3 linked regions of the Schizosaccharomyces pombe genome follow. The gene in region 1 interacts genetically with each later gene. Each region holds a gene or a part of one and is shown in the gene's direction. Other genes may lie near its edges.

Region 1 (5,086 bases):
TTGCGTCAATTTTATCACCGGGAGATTCACAAGCAGTGATAGTACCTCATGCAATACGTATAATTTCTGGTCCATTAGGGCTTGTACATCCAGATCCTCTGGTCGCTTCACACGCAAGGTCATCGATGCAAACAATAGAATCGCTGATTCATCCTAGGTTCCCACCTTTGCAAAAACATCTTTCACCAAGCGAATTTGAAAATACGTTTGAGTCAAGATTTGAGCCTGTTTCTCTTGAAAACCAATCGCATATTTCTCCACCCCAGGTGGATTCTCAATCAGAGTATAAAGAAAGTAGTATTTTGGCTCCATCAAATCCTCCCTTTGAAACAGAGTCGATTACAGATTCCACTGAAATTGAAGGGATCAAAGAGTCTTTTGCATCTACAGATACAGGCTTACAGAATAATTCTACAGCTACCTCCGAGAACAAAAGAAGCGAATCAGAGCTGACTATGTCTAATGTTCTTTCTAATGAGGGTGACAGAAATGAAGAAGGTAGTGAAATCAACTCTTCTCAACCTTCAACTATTAATCACGGGACTGATCACATTAACATTGTTTCGGAAAACAAGGAAACAACTGTTTCACTGTTGCATGGAGATGTTGAGGTTGAGGAGACTACAAATGTTGCATTAAACAATTCTCAGGACACTGAAACCAAATTTACTGCTATAGACGTTGACTTTGTTGACCGACCTACTAGTGTAGTTTCAAGCCAAATTGAAAACATAAATGGTGATGAAAATGGAAACACAACTTCTTCAGTCGTCGAAACTTTTGAAAAAACAACGGATGTCGTAGATGAGAAAACGACTTCTATTAATGTGGAAGGAAACGGAGAAGATGATGAGGAGGAAGACAATATCTCTTTGCCAAGTATAAACTTGGAATCTGATAGTGATAGTTAGTCTTAATTTATAAAAAGGATTTGGGGGTACTGAATGTTTATTTTAAATTCTATTTCTAGATAAGTAGGTTGTCATTTAATCCAAGCTGATTTTTATAAAGTCCTGTATGTATTATCGTCATGGCAAAAAAGGTACATCAAGCTGATATTTGGAGGTTAAAATCAATTGATTTTGACCTCCAGAATACATTGCTTATGTGTTCTCCTTTTTAATTAGCTAAATTTTCCAGTAATACAAAGTACAAAGTCTTGTGTTATCCGCAAAAATTTTTAATTAATCATTTTTATACCATTGGTGTCACAAAAATCCCGATTATTTTAGAGTTAGACTGTCGTTTATGTTTTTTGAGAAAGAATTAAAACAACTTATCTAGTCTAGTGTTTAAAAGAATTTTATACTGTTTCATTAAGAATAATGAAGATATCCCTTTCCAAAGGCAAAAGAAAAGTCGATAACTATATAATGCAAGCTTCTAAACAAACTTGAATTAGTGATTGCAACATTTCTTTTGCCAACAATATTTAAATCCTTCATTGCTTGACACATGGTTTTATGAGAAAAATTAAGAAAGAACATTAAGTACTTCAAATAAATTTGTTGAAGGATCCAAAATTCTCCAAATAGACTTTTTTTATATGAAGATACCATTCATTCAGCTTTGACTCGCATGCGAGCTCTCTGGACAATAAACGATCAAGCCAGCGAGGTATACTGTAACCATAATATCACGAATAGTACAATAAACTTTTTTTTAAAAAAATCTAAATGTACTAACCAGAGAAGCATAAAAGAGCTCTTATAGTTCCATAAAGGATACGTTTTATCCACATAGCACTCTCTTAAAATTAAATGCTGGAATGTCGTTTTGGATAGATTATGCAATTGTGCAATAGTAATTCCTTAACAACTGATAGTTTTTGTTCAATTTATCATTCTGTTTTATTCATCCTGGATACCTTTAACTCCATGTCAGTATTTTCTGTTGTACGGCCACGAGAGTACGGATTTTTGAATTGGTTTCAATGTTAGGATCAATTACTAACGTTCCATTTCTTAGTTTAAGAGACGCATACTTCATTCACATCTTCTAATCCTGACTGTTCTAGATAAGAAGTCATCTTAATTCGCTACGTTAACAACATTATACATTAACTACACACATATTGCCAAATTTTAGTAATTCATAACAAGAGTGTTTTCCAGTAAAGGAGTTGGATCTTGAAATGTACCACTAAAATAGATGATTTTGAAATAAAAATGGAATGGATGGAATTATGAAAAACGACTTGTTATGGTTCGGCAACCACGTTTTCGACCTTACGCCAAATTCATTTGATTCTGATTTTGTCGAGCAGCTTTCGAAATTTGAGGGAAAAGAAGGATTGAAGAGGAAGTTATTTGACTCCTCGGAATACTTTCAAAACTTTTCATTTCAAGTAAACGATGATCTGTTGGGAAAAGATGTCATTCTCGATATTTCAAATCAACAACTAACACCCGCTGTGCCTGGGTGTGAGACATCATCCAATTCCAAACTCATAAGCGCATCTAAGGAAATTACTTCAGAAAGAAAAAGAGCTAAATCCTCAGTGTCCCCCTCTTATCTTACAGATTCATCACCCAGCGATTTATCTGTCGAAAACAAAGTTCTGCTAACATGCCCTAGCTGGGATGGAGAAAATTTTAAAAATTTAGAAGCTAGATCTCCATTCATATCTGAAGCGCCTTCTCGGGTATATGATTATTTTCTTCATAATCAGGATTGGAGTCCGAAACCATTATTTTCTGCACTGCAAGTTTACCCTTTAGCAACTATTTTCAATTGCGTGGCTGGTTTACCACAAGGATTTGAAAGCACAGTGTTTCCATGGAACAAAACCTCAAGCACATTTGAACTCGATCCGACCATCTCCGTTTCAGGAATGTCCGATGAATGTTTTGCTAGTATCGTCCAGAAATTTTCTGCAATTGGGGGTTTAATAAAAAAAGCTTTAAATGAATTCTCTTTATACAAGACCAACATTTCTTTTTATTTATCAAATTTCATTGTGAATGGTGTCTTGCAGTATCGAAAGGAGTTTCAGCGTTGGCTTCGTCTTTATGAGTTCCGTAGATTCGGTCTGATTGGTTTAAGTAACTTTGTTAATTCTTTTTCTTCATTCTTTGAGTTAATTTCACACTTCTTAATAAAATCGGCTCAAAACCTAAAAGGAGATTCCTTGTTAGATTTTCTTTTTGATTATGCGCGTTCATGTCAGAATACCATATCTTACCCCATTGCCCTACAGTGCTTGATATATTGCTCAAATCCCTACTTCAAAAGGCTTGAGCTTGCTTTAAAAGTTTCTTGTGCGTATGGTCACATTGATTCTTCATTGTTCTTATCACTTCCCCGTTTTTTTCCTTCTGAACTTTGTGTAAGCATTGAACAGTGTATTCAATTTTTGTCATTAATAAGGGAACAAAAAGAAATATTTAATAAAAACAACAAAGAATTTATTAACCCTTTGAACATTCGGTTCGCATATTCTTTCAACGACATAAATCAAGCTTGTGTAATAGAGGAGCGCTGCAACTTTTCTTCGCTTTCTTTTGGTAATTTGGAACAAACTTCCGTCAATAATGACAGTGAAGAATTTGAAACGCTGCTTGCTAAAATGAACATGACTCCAGATTTCAACGATAATTTATTACAACTTAAATTTACAGATGATGTGCGCAACGTCTGTCCGCTTAACTTGAATGTTTGCTGCTGTATTGCTGAGCCAATACAATCTTTTATTCTCAGTTTCTTACGTTCGACATATAAAGTTTTAAAAAACGATTTTCAGGTGTTTGATCTTTTAAATTTTTTTCATTCCACTTTTCTTTTTCAAAATTATGAATTCTCTGATAATGTCATTTCTCTGTTAAAATCAAGAAGGCTTGATAAATCTGACCGTAATGAGTTGGCTGAGGACTTGAACTCTGATGACAGATATAATTTTATTTCTCGATTGAAAAAATTCATTTTTATGGAAAAAGAAAAAAATGGGTTGAGCAGGTCTTTATCTAAGAGTATAACTTTTACATTGGATTCTGCGAGCGTTAGTGAATTTGAGGATGTGTACCCTGATTTACAATTCCAATGCCAAGTAATAGGTGCTTTACGGATATTATTTACTGATAACTCTTTAAATTATTATTCGAAAACTTTTTCTTACGTTTTACATCTCTTTCAAGCTCAATCAGACTTTGAATCATCTGTCGAATTGAAAGATCGTTCTATAGTAACAAAAACAACTATTATGTCATGGTCTAAGTATCAAGGCACGAAAGAATCTCTTTTTCAGTTTCTTTCAATATACATTCCAGAGTGTATGTTGCCTTTTACGAAATTACTGAAATCCATATATTCTCCTGACTGTCCTACGAACATACAAAATTCTGCAATTAAAAATGCGGCTTCAGTTCACGAGCAGTGCACTAAAGCAATTTATCAAAAGGTCAAAGAGTTGTTTGATACCATGAAACTCTGGGAGTCATCCATCAAAGTGTCATAACAAAAAACCAGATCCGGATGACGGATTTTTACGAGTGTAAACATGCTAATCTCACCTTTAAGTTTGAAGAATATACGATTTTACAGCAGAAAAAAATTTATAAGCACAACACTTACAGAAAATTCCTTGCATAAAATGATAAAGAATGTAAAGAAGTATTTGGATAAATTCATGAGTAAAGTATTTACTAGAGATATATCTTAATCTAAGTTTAAACAACCTGTGCCAAACAAAAGGAAATTAATTTAACAAAGAAAGGGATGAAGAATTAAAAGGAATCAAAATAGAAATGAACAGTCAAGCTTATGATTGATTGTTTGAAGATCAAACATATCAAGGTAAAGTGCCATGATCACAGGAAAATACGCAATGTAGTTTAGTAAGTTATTTTGGTGCAAAAATATATGCGCTTTAATGGTGGAACATACCAGTATGTCCCACTTAATTTGCTCGTTCAAAAAATGCATGCAAAAAAAAAAAAAAAGATACAAATCTGTAAATACCTCACGCAAATATAAGAGTGCAAATAAAGACATGTTGAGAAAAGAGTAGAGGCAAAAGCCAAAAGATAAAAATCTTACTGGACGCCTATCACTTTGGTGAAGTTGAGGGTAAACGGACAAGGAATGCATG
Region 2 (4,359 bases), on another chromosome or scaffold:
TAACATAATAAATTTAACAAATTACCTATGTCACAAAGGTTCAGAGAATCCTTTGGATTATTAACGGGGTTTCTCGAAAGAAAAAAAAACATCGTCTGAACCTTTGCAGCAGTTTTGCTTTTATGCTAACTAACTTATTTTGCATGCAGCTATACTAAAGTAGTTCATGACTGTACATATGCTCTAGTCATCAATCCGTATGATAAAAAAGTGATATGGAGGAGAGGACTAGCTTATTTGCGACTTGGACATCCTCACTTAGCCAATCGTGATTGGGAGCATTCACTTGAACTGGACCCAAACAATACATACATCCAAAAATCTCTTCATAGATTAAAGGAAGTGTATTACATTTACAGAGAATGTGCAGAAACATGGCAGTTAAGACACCTTAGAGTTGCTTCTTCTCAGCAATTACCTGTAGGATTGCGAAAACAATACCCTAATATAATTCGTGGCAAGATCTGGTGGAAGAAAGTGCACGACAATTGCCAATTGTGTGGACAGCAATGCGAACTGAAAAAGGAGAATCTTTCAGCAATGCGGTCTATGCTTTACATGGCAAATACTTATGCAAAGGATGATACCGAAAATCACTCGCCCAGCGCCCAAATCGGAATAGAAAGCTCGGAGGACGAATTAGAAAATAAAATAACTAAGGGAGAACACTCTCTATTGGTCCCAGAGGAACTGTACAGATCCAATTACCCATGCCCTCAAAACATAGATCAGTTTCTTTATATGATAAAAGTCCTATCTGCCCCCTGTTTGTACATTGAAACGTTTTCATTTCCTATTTCCACAATTAATCAATTGTTCAAAGCTCATGGAATGTCGGTTGAGCAGTTAAATTTATTCTTAAAATCAATACACTATATCGGATTGTGTTCAAGGTTTTGCAAGCAATGGTCCGACAAGGCACGATCGCTGATGCAAGCGTTGAGTGGGCTGCCGTGGTTCAGTTTTGTCGTGCAACATTGTTTACATATAACGGCAGCTCAAATTCTTTTGCATATTCCTGACATCCAAGAAGAAGAATTCAGAAACTGGCATGTTTCCAAAAAACCCATCAACAATACTGATCTCTCTTCTGAATTTGAAATTGCAGAGATCCCAATCAATTGCTACACATGATAACATTGATGACAATAAATTTTTGTATGTTAAGTCAGTCCAGAAACCATCGATGCAATCATTTGGAGTAGAAGGCATTAATAACCGTGTGTAGTTTATGAATAACACATTCATTGTATATCAACCTCTTATTTTCAGTGCTGAAATAATCATTATCAACCACATGAAGCTATATATTTGTGGGCAAAGTAGAAATGTTTGCCATTTTGTTTACCGCCGGATACACCAAGCAATGAAGACAGTCATCGACCCAATACACAAGTATTGTCCGTCAAATGTTAAGTGTAATTGTTAAAGAAATTGAACAAAATGAAAGAGACAAAAAAACTTTCAAGACAGTTTTGTGTTGCACACCAATACTGCCGTTTCTCATACTCTGAGTATATGCCATGAATCGCATATTCACGATTTAATCAAAATAAAAAAGATATCCAAAATATCTACATCTCTGTTACTAAATTGCTTGTTTATTTATAACAAAGCCATTTCACAGATACACAGCCAACGTGGTAAAGCAACCCTTTTCTCATAATCGCTACAACAGCAAAAAAATATATGTCTAATGCAGGTTTTTCAATTTTCTATTATCTCTATTAACTAAACGTTCATTTCATACAATTTTATCGGTATGGCAAGGTTATGGTAGTCTACAAGTTGAAAACCGCAGAATGAATCGGCTATTATATGCTTACGATGAGGATGACGTATTCCATATGTTTGTGTTACGCTGCACACACTATGACGGTTTCCCAATACTCTTCTTTTGACCTTAGCTCTTTACATAAATTCCAGTAAAAAAGCGAAGAAAGCCGTTTTTTTGTGTTTGTTGAAAAACGATACGTTGGTCCTTTTGGTGTTTATGTTTTTGTGCTTGTATTAGAATAATAGATTGTATAGAGGCTTGTCATCGTAAAATTGTTTCAAAGGCGAACGCCAATTTTAACATTAGAGCTTGCAATTCTTTAAACGAAGCACCATTACTATTCTCTTCCTTTTTTTTGTATTGTTTTTCTTTTATTTTTTACTCTTTAGGGTGGATTTAAAGTTGGGCACCCCTGTAGGAGTATTCTAAATTTGTTGTTGTGAGAGTAGTTTATCAGGTGGATTTATATTCTTTTCGCTTTTCTTCCTAAGATCTTTAGTATCCTTATTTCCTCCCCTTTCTTTGTGAGTATATCGTATAGGAACAGTTACGTTACTGTTGTATGAATATTAGACGGAATACTGGTTCAATTTCTAAAGATGGATTCTGGGTCAAGAGTAAACGTCAACATTCAAGGGACTCGAGTTCTCAAAAACAAGCTGGGAAAAATTCCTGACATCGACATATCTACAGATGGAAAGTACTTATTATCTGCATCAACGAATGATGTTCTGTTAGTTTGGGATTTGCACACTTCCAACAAAGTTGCGTTCTTTGAAGCACCAAGCGTATGGATTATGACTTGTGCATTCTCACCCTCCACTAAGAGCATAGCAGCTGGAGGGCTGAACAACTTTTGCGTAGTATACGATACCAGTGTTCCAGATGCGGATCCGGTCGAATTGGTTGGGCATGCAGGATTTGTTTCGTGCTGTAAGTATGTCGATGACGGTCATTTGCTTACGGGTTCTGGCGATAAAACTTGCATGTTTTGGGACATAGAGCAGGCAAAAGCCATTAGCGTTTTGAAAGGTCATGAAATGGATATTGTCTCTCTAGATTTCCTACCCTCAAATCCCAATTTATTTGTTACCGGAGGCTGTGACAAATTAGCCAAGCTCTGGGACCTTCGGGCTGCTTATTGTTGTGCCACATTTCCCGGAAATACATCGGATATTAATTCCATTTCCTTTTTTCCTTCTAACGCTGATTTTGTTACGGGTGCAGAGGATGGTATCGCTCGGTGCTTTGACATTCGTGCTTCTGCTGAGATATTCCAGTATTCATCTCCATCATCCTCCCCCATTAATTCAGTCTTATTTTCCAAGTCTGGAAAACTTCTTTTTATCGCAAAAGATAAAACATGCGAGGTTTGGGATTCCATCTCAAGCAAAACCATCACATCATTAACAGGCCATGAAAATCGAATTAGCTCTTTAGCTTTAACTTCTGATGGAACAATGTTGGCAACTGGCTCTTGGGACGAATGTGTTCGTCTCTGGTCTTCGTCAGGGTAAATTAATGATTTTTTTTCTCCTTTTTTTTTTGTCTTTGGAAATGATGATGTTTGTTTTGTTTTTTTTTCTTATACATTTACGTTTTCGATTCTAGGAGGTTGACTGCTTCATGTCCCACTGGTTTATTATTTTTCTTAATTTTTTATACGTTTATGCGTGGTTTCGTGATGCTTTACTGATAATGTATTCATAAACCCTTGTGTACTAATTCCCTATTTTTTTCGTTACGTTTCTCTTTTATTTCTAAACAAAAATATACCTTTTCGAAAATTTCGCCTTGCAAAGGTTGGCGCTTTTTTATTACTATTTAATTATTGCGATTTTGTAAACGTTTAATCCTAACGATTACCCTTTAGTCTTTTTTTCTTAAAGGTATTTTTCTTCTTACGTATGATAATAAACTTTTTTATAAATGTTGTCTTGCTGTTTTTTAAAACTTATTTTTATGAAAGAACAACCCAAATATTAAATTCTTTTATTAAATAAAATTCTATGTATGTATACTACGAATTGAAAGAAACTGTAAATAGCTATAATACAAAGAGCGTAAAGTACCCGTATTCGCTCTTATTCATCTAAAAATCCCCCCATCACCGATGCCCACTCGTTAATACAAGAACCTGGCTTAGTTTCATAATCGGGTATGTTGAAGGGGCAATCACAATTACAACCATATTCTTGACCACAGTGTTGAATTGTGGAATGTTGATACCCAAGGTCTCTAAAGTAATGGACTTGAGATCGATTAAGGAGAAGACCCACTGCTAGCGAATGCACCGGAGCATCGCCCCACTAAAATAAGTTAGTAATCAGAGATAGGAAAAAAGTATGAAGAAGATTGCACTTCGAAGAACACAATGCTTTTTTTTTTTTGAATAAACTGTAAAAACATACCCTTTCAGTCCAAAATCCTCCAGCATTTTCCAATGCGTCGACATATTCATTATACTCTTTACTATTGTAAAAGTCTAAGCGTGCAATTTCGAAGTTACTCCAAAAATGGCATAGATTATAAATCTGGCCATCAATTCGGTTTAAAGGGGGCTCCGGTAAAACGTAATATCC
Region 3 (3,574 bases), on another chromosome or scaffold:
ATTGACAACTGAAATACTAATTGGTTAATCATGACAAGGTCACCTACAGTAAGGTTGGAAGTTACAATTCCACGACAACCCATGTACATCATCAAAGTAAGAGCGGTAGAGAATATAATAGCCTGTCCTGAATTCAAAAAGGCCAAAGAAGATGCTACCTTAACGTTGGCTTTTTCGTAGGCGGAAAGATGCTTTTCATATCTGCTCATTTCGTATGATTCGTTATTAAAAGTTTTAACGGCTTCATAATTAATCAGAGATTCAATTGCCGCGGCTGATGCTTTACTGTCAGCAGCATTTGCTTGACGACGGAATACAGTTCTCCAGGATGTCGTCCTAACAGTAAAAAGAGCATAAAGAGCAACGGTTGTAGCAGCAATGGCCGAAAACGAAGGTCCGTACTTGTAAGTGAGAATACCACTCACCATAGCAATTTCAAGGGTAATAGGAATGATGTGTAACACCATGGAGGAAAGAATGAAACTAATACCTTTTGTACCACGATCCATTGCTCTAGTAATACTTCCTGTTTGCTTTGAGAGATGAAAATTCATGTCAAGGTTCAACAGATGTTGATAGACATTGCTAGAAACACTTCGAATAGCGCTTTGCGACACAATTGCAAAAACGCTATTCCTTAACTCTTGAAAAACGGTAGAAAATATTCTAGCAAAGCCATAACCGAGAACAACAGCTCCTACAGTAGACCACAATGCTCCTACTTCTTGAACAAGTGTTGTATTCATGGTATCGATAATTGATTTAAAGTAAAAAGGAACTTGGACGTTAAGAATTTTGGCAGCTACAAGTAGTGCGAGAGCCGAAACAACTCTAACTTTCAAATTAGTCTTCCCCTTGGGCCAAATATATTGAAGCATGTCCTTAACAATCATTTGTCCTGTTACATTTTTATCATCTGGTACATCGGAAGCAAGTTTAACAGAAGTATTCAGTGGCTCTTTTTCTTTTGATTTGTTATTCCATAACGCTTTTGAAGCCGAATTATTTCCATTTCTAAGTGGGAAACATTGCTTAGATGCAAAATTGGAAAACCGCAGTATATGTTGAAGAGGTAATATATTTGACTTTCTTAAAACAAGATAAGTTCCACGAGAATTAAGAAAAGAGCGAGCTGGAATATTTCTTGGCGAGCTGATTAATTTCCAGGGACATCGTTCTAGCATTTTTATTAATACAACACTTTAAGATGTCAGAGCTTCAAGCTGTTAGTTATACCCAATATACTGCTCTTCTATTTAAGATAATTAAAGTTTTTAAATCTATATTTAAATAGAATAAACTTGGCTGATAGAATATGAAAAACAGACGAAACGTTCAGTCAGAAAAACCTCAAATAGCCTCCAAAGAGGCAACTTTTTAATAGATGGTATATATGAATAAAAGAACTAAGAGAAGGATAATTCTCAAACCTTTAGTTCTATAAATCTGGCAGACTTAGAAAGTTGTAGATTTTGATTAGATCACGATTGCGAAGTAGAGTCCAACAATTGCAAACTCATCAAAACTGCACTGAGGATTACGAAATTTTTAGCGTGTATTAACCTTTATAAAAGTTTTACATATAATTATTAATGGATAATCTGAGCTGAAGAAATGTGTGCCTAAAGCGTAAACGTAAGAATGATTCGGTGTAGCAAATAAAGGAAAATAGCAAGGAATGAACGCAATGCTTTACCTTTGTTAAAATAATTTGCTGAGCGAGAACAGAATTTCAAAAACAGGCACAGGTGATTTCCATTATATCAAAGATACCAAACGTTTATTACGTTTTGGTTAAACCACCTGCACACACCCAGAGATTGCATACACTTTTGGCAACTCTGGTAAAGTGAATTGAAACATACCTTTTACTAATTACGAGTCGAATTAGTGTTTTTGATGACTTATTAAATAAATGTCTGATTTGTTGAATTATTTACAGTCTATTGCTGCTACATCAGAAAAACTTTTGGAACCGGAAAACCCAAACGCAGCACGTTTCACAGACGCGGTGCTACATACTCATGCTATAACTGATTTAATTCGCGATACTCAGAAGGAAGAACTAATTGCAGCTGAGTTCAAATCTCTACCGAAGGATTGGAGTGAAAGGTTGGCATCAGAAAACCCTGCAGACTACGTTGCTTGTATTGAGGAACTACTAGATATATATCCTATGCAAGGTGGCCGTGAATATTTGGAGACTCTGGTTGAGAAATACAACTTACATATGTCAGGAATTGAGAATTTGGAAAACGTTTTACTGGAACAGAAAGAGCAATTGCAGCAACTTGAAAAACGACAAACCGATCAGGTGTCTGCTAGGGAGAATATTCTACAGCGTGAAACTTCTGAAATCCAAAGACTTGAAAGAGAAATTGAAAAAGTGAAGCAACTGATACAATCTTAGGAAGGCTATTTGCGTTGGTAGTCAGATCGACTTTTCGTATTGGTGAACATTTAGAAAAGGAGAAGCGAGGTCGTTGTTTTATCATGGATTTGAGCAAAGAACAAGAAATGTATTTAAGCGAGGATATAAAAGACCATGGACTCATTCCTTTGAAGTTACATCCTCAAAGAAGCACCCGAGATATTTCTGATTGCAGTTATCCTTCGACGTCAGATGATCGATCGGCTTACTCCCAATACAAACTGATGAAGCTGAAGAGGAAAAAAAGAAGTCGATGTTTTGATATATCATCCTTTAAAAAGCATATTGAAATGTCGCTTGCTAAGAAAAAAGCAAGTTCGTCTACTGTTACTTTGAAGGCTACAAAAGAGCTAGAGGATTATGAATACCTAGAATATGAAAAACATAAAGAGAAGAGAAGAGAATCTTTGGACTGTTTGCTCCAGGAATTCTCTAAAGCGGCAAAGATATTGAACGAAGATAATTAGCAAACTAAGTACATTACAACTCAGGAGCATAATAACTCATTGTTTTTGTAATATTCTCATTTATAGAATAGTATGTGAAAAATACAATAATGTTCATGATAAGTTAAAGACGGCAATTAGATTACTGGCTCAACGCCAGCTTTTGCATTGGACTCATTTGTTGTAATGAGTTCTTAATATTTATACAAACATAAGTACATACTTGTTCTTAAAAGTTCTAAAAGATTTTATTTAAGATATAAATAAAAGTTCAATAGCATAGTATGATAGCAAGTAATGGAACACTATGTATTTATTCTATATTTGATTATTAATATAGAGTAAAAGTCAGGTTCATAGTGTTTCTATTGACTCGTCAACTATAATTATTTTTTGTTGTTACTGAATGATAGAATTTGAACGAATGTTTTAATTGCTAATACCAAGGCTGCTGCTCCACCTTAACAATCACACATTACGCCAAAAAAATTATTTACTCGATTTCTCAAAAAAAACAATAAAAAAGGATCAATAAGAATACCTTTATTAAGAAAAACTTCTTCTTTGGAAAATTAAAGAATACACTTACTGTTGTTTATTTCAGTGTTTGTTATTGTATTCACAATTATTTATTTGTTTACTTATTACATAAGGCTAGTGGATCACCTTAATCTTTCTAACTACACACACCATAAGA

The links. Genes that interact genetically often act in the same process or in processes that back each other up.
Region 2: mutations in alp16 (region 1) and git5 together harm fitness more than expected from each alone (negative genetic interaction), as found in Schizosaccharomyces pombe (one large-scale study listed by BioGRID).
Region 3: mutations in alp16 (region 1) and spc34 together harm fitness more than expected from each alone (negative genetic interaction), as found in Schizosaccharomyces pombe (2 studies listed by BioGRID).

Annotation. Positions count from the first base shown.
Region 1 is NC_003421.2:431,762-436,847, reverse strand, and holds alp16 (gamma tubulin complex GCP6 subunit Alp16), read left to right. Parts: upstream 1-2,061; 5' UTR 2,062-2,173; coding exon 2,174-4,453; 3' UTR 4,454-4,584; downstream 4,585-5,086. Other genes in the region: ribosome biogenesis protein Rix1, read left to right, coding at 1-911. UniProt on the Schizosaccharomyces pombe protein: Component of the gamma tubule complex that is required for the regulation of both interphase microtubules and mitotic bipolar spindles.
Region 2 is NC_003423.3:1,461,950-1,466,308, forward strand, and holds git5 (heterotrimeric G protein beta (WD repeat) subunit Git5), read left to right. Parts: upstream 1-1,899; 5' UTR 1,900-2,376; coding exon 2,377-3,294; 3' UTR 3,295-3,796; downstream 3,797-4,359. Other genes in the region: mug93 (TPR repeat-containing protein), read left to right, coding at 150-1,134; putative alpha-1,2-mannosyltransferase Omh5, read right to left, coding at 3,862-4,086, 4,189-4,359. UniProt on the Schizosaccharomyces pombe protein: Beta subunit of the heterotrimeric guanine nucleotide-binding protein (G protein) involved in glucose-induced cAMP signaling.
Region 3 is NC_003424.3:3,673,136-3,676,709, reverse strand, and holds spc34 (DASH complex subunit Spc34), read left to right. Parts: upstream 1-1,815; 5' UTR 1,816-1,915; coding exon 1,916-2,410; 3' UTR 2,411-3,011; downstream 3,012-3,574. Other genes in the region: ABC family Fe transporter Atm1, read right to left, coding at 1-1,184. UniProt on the Schizosaccharomyces pombe protein: Component of the DASH complex that connects microtubules with kinetochores and couples microtubule depolymerisation to chromosome movement; it is involved in retrieving kinetochores to the spindle poles before their re-orientation on the spindle in early mitosis and allows microtubule depolymerization to pull chromosomes apart and resist detachment during anaphase.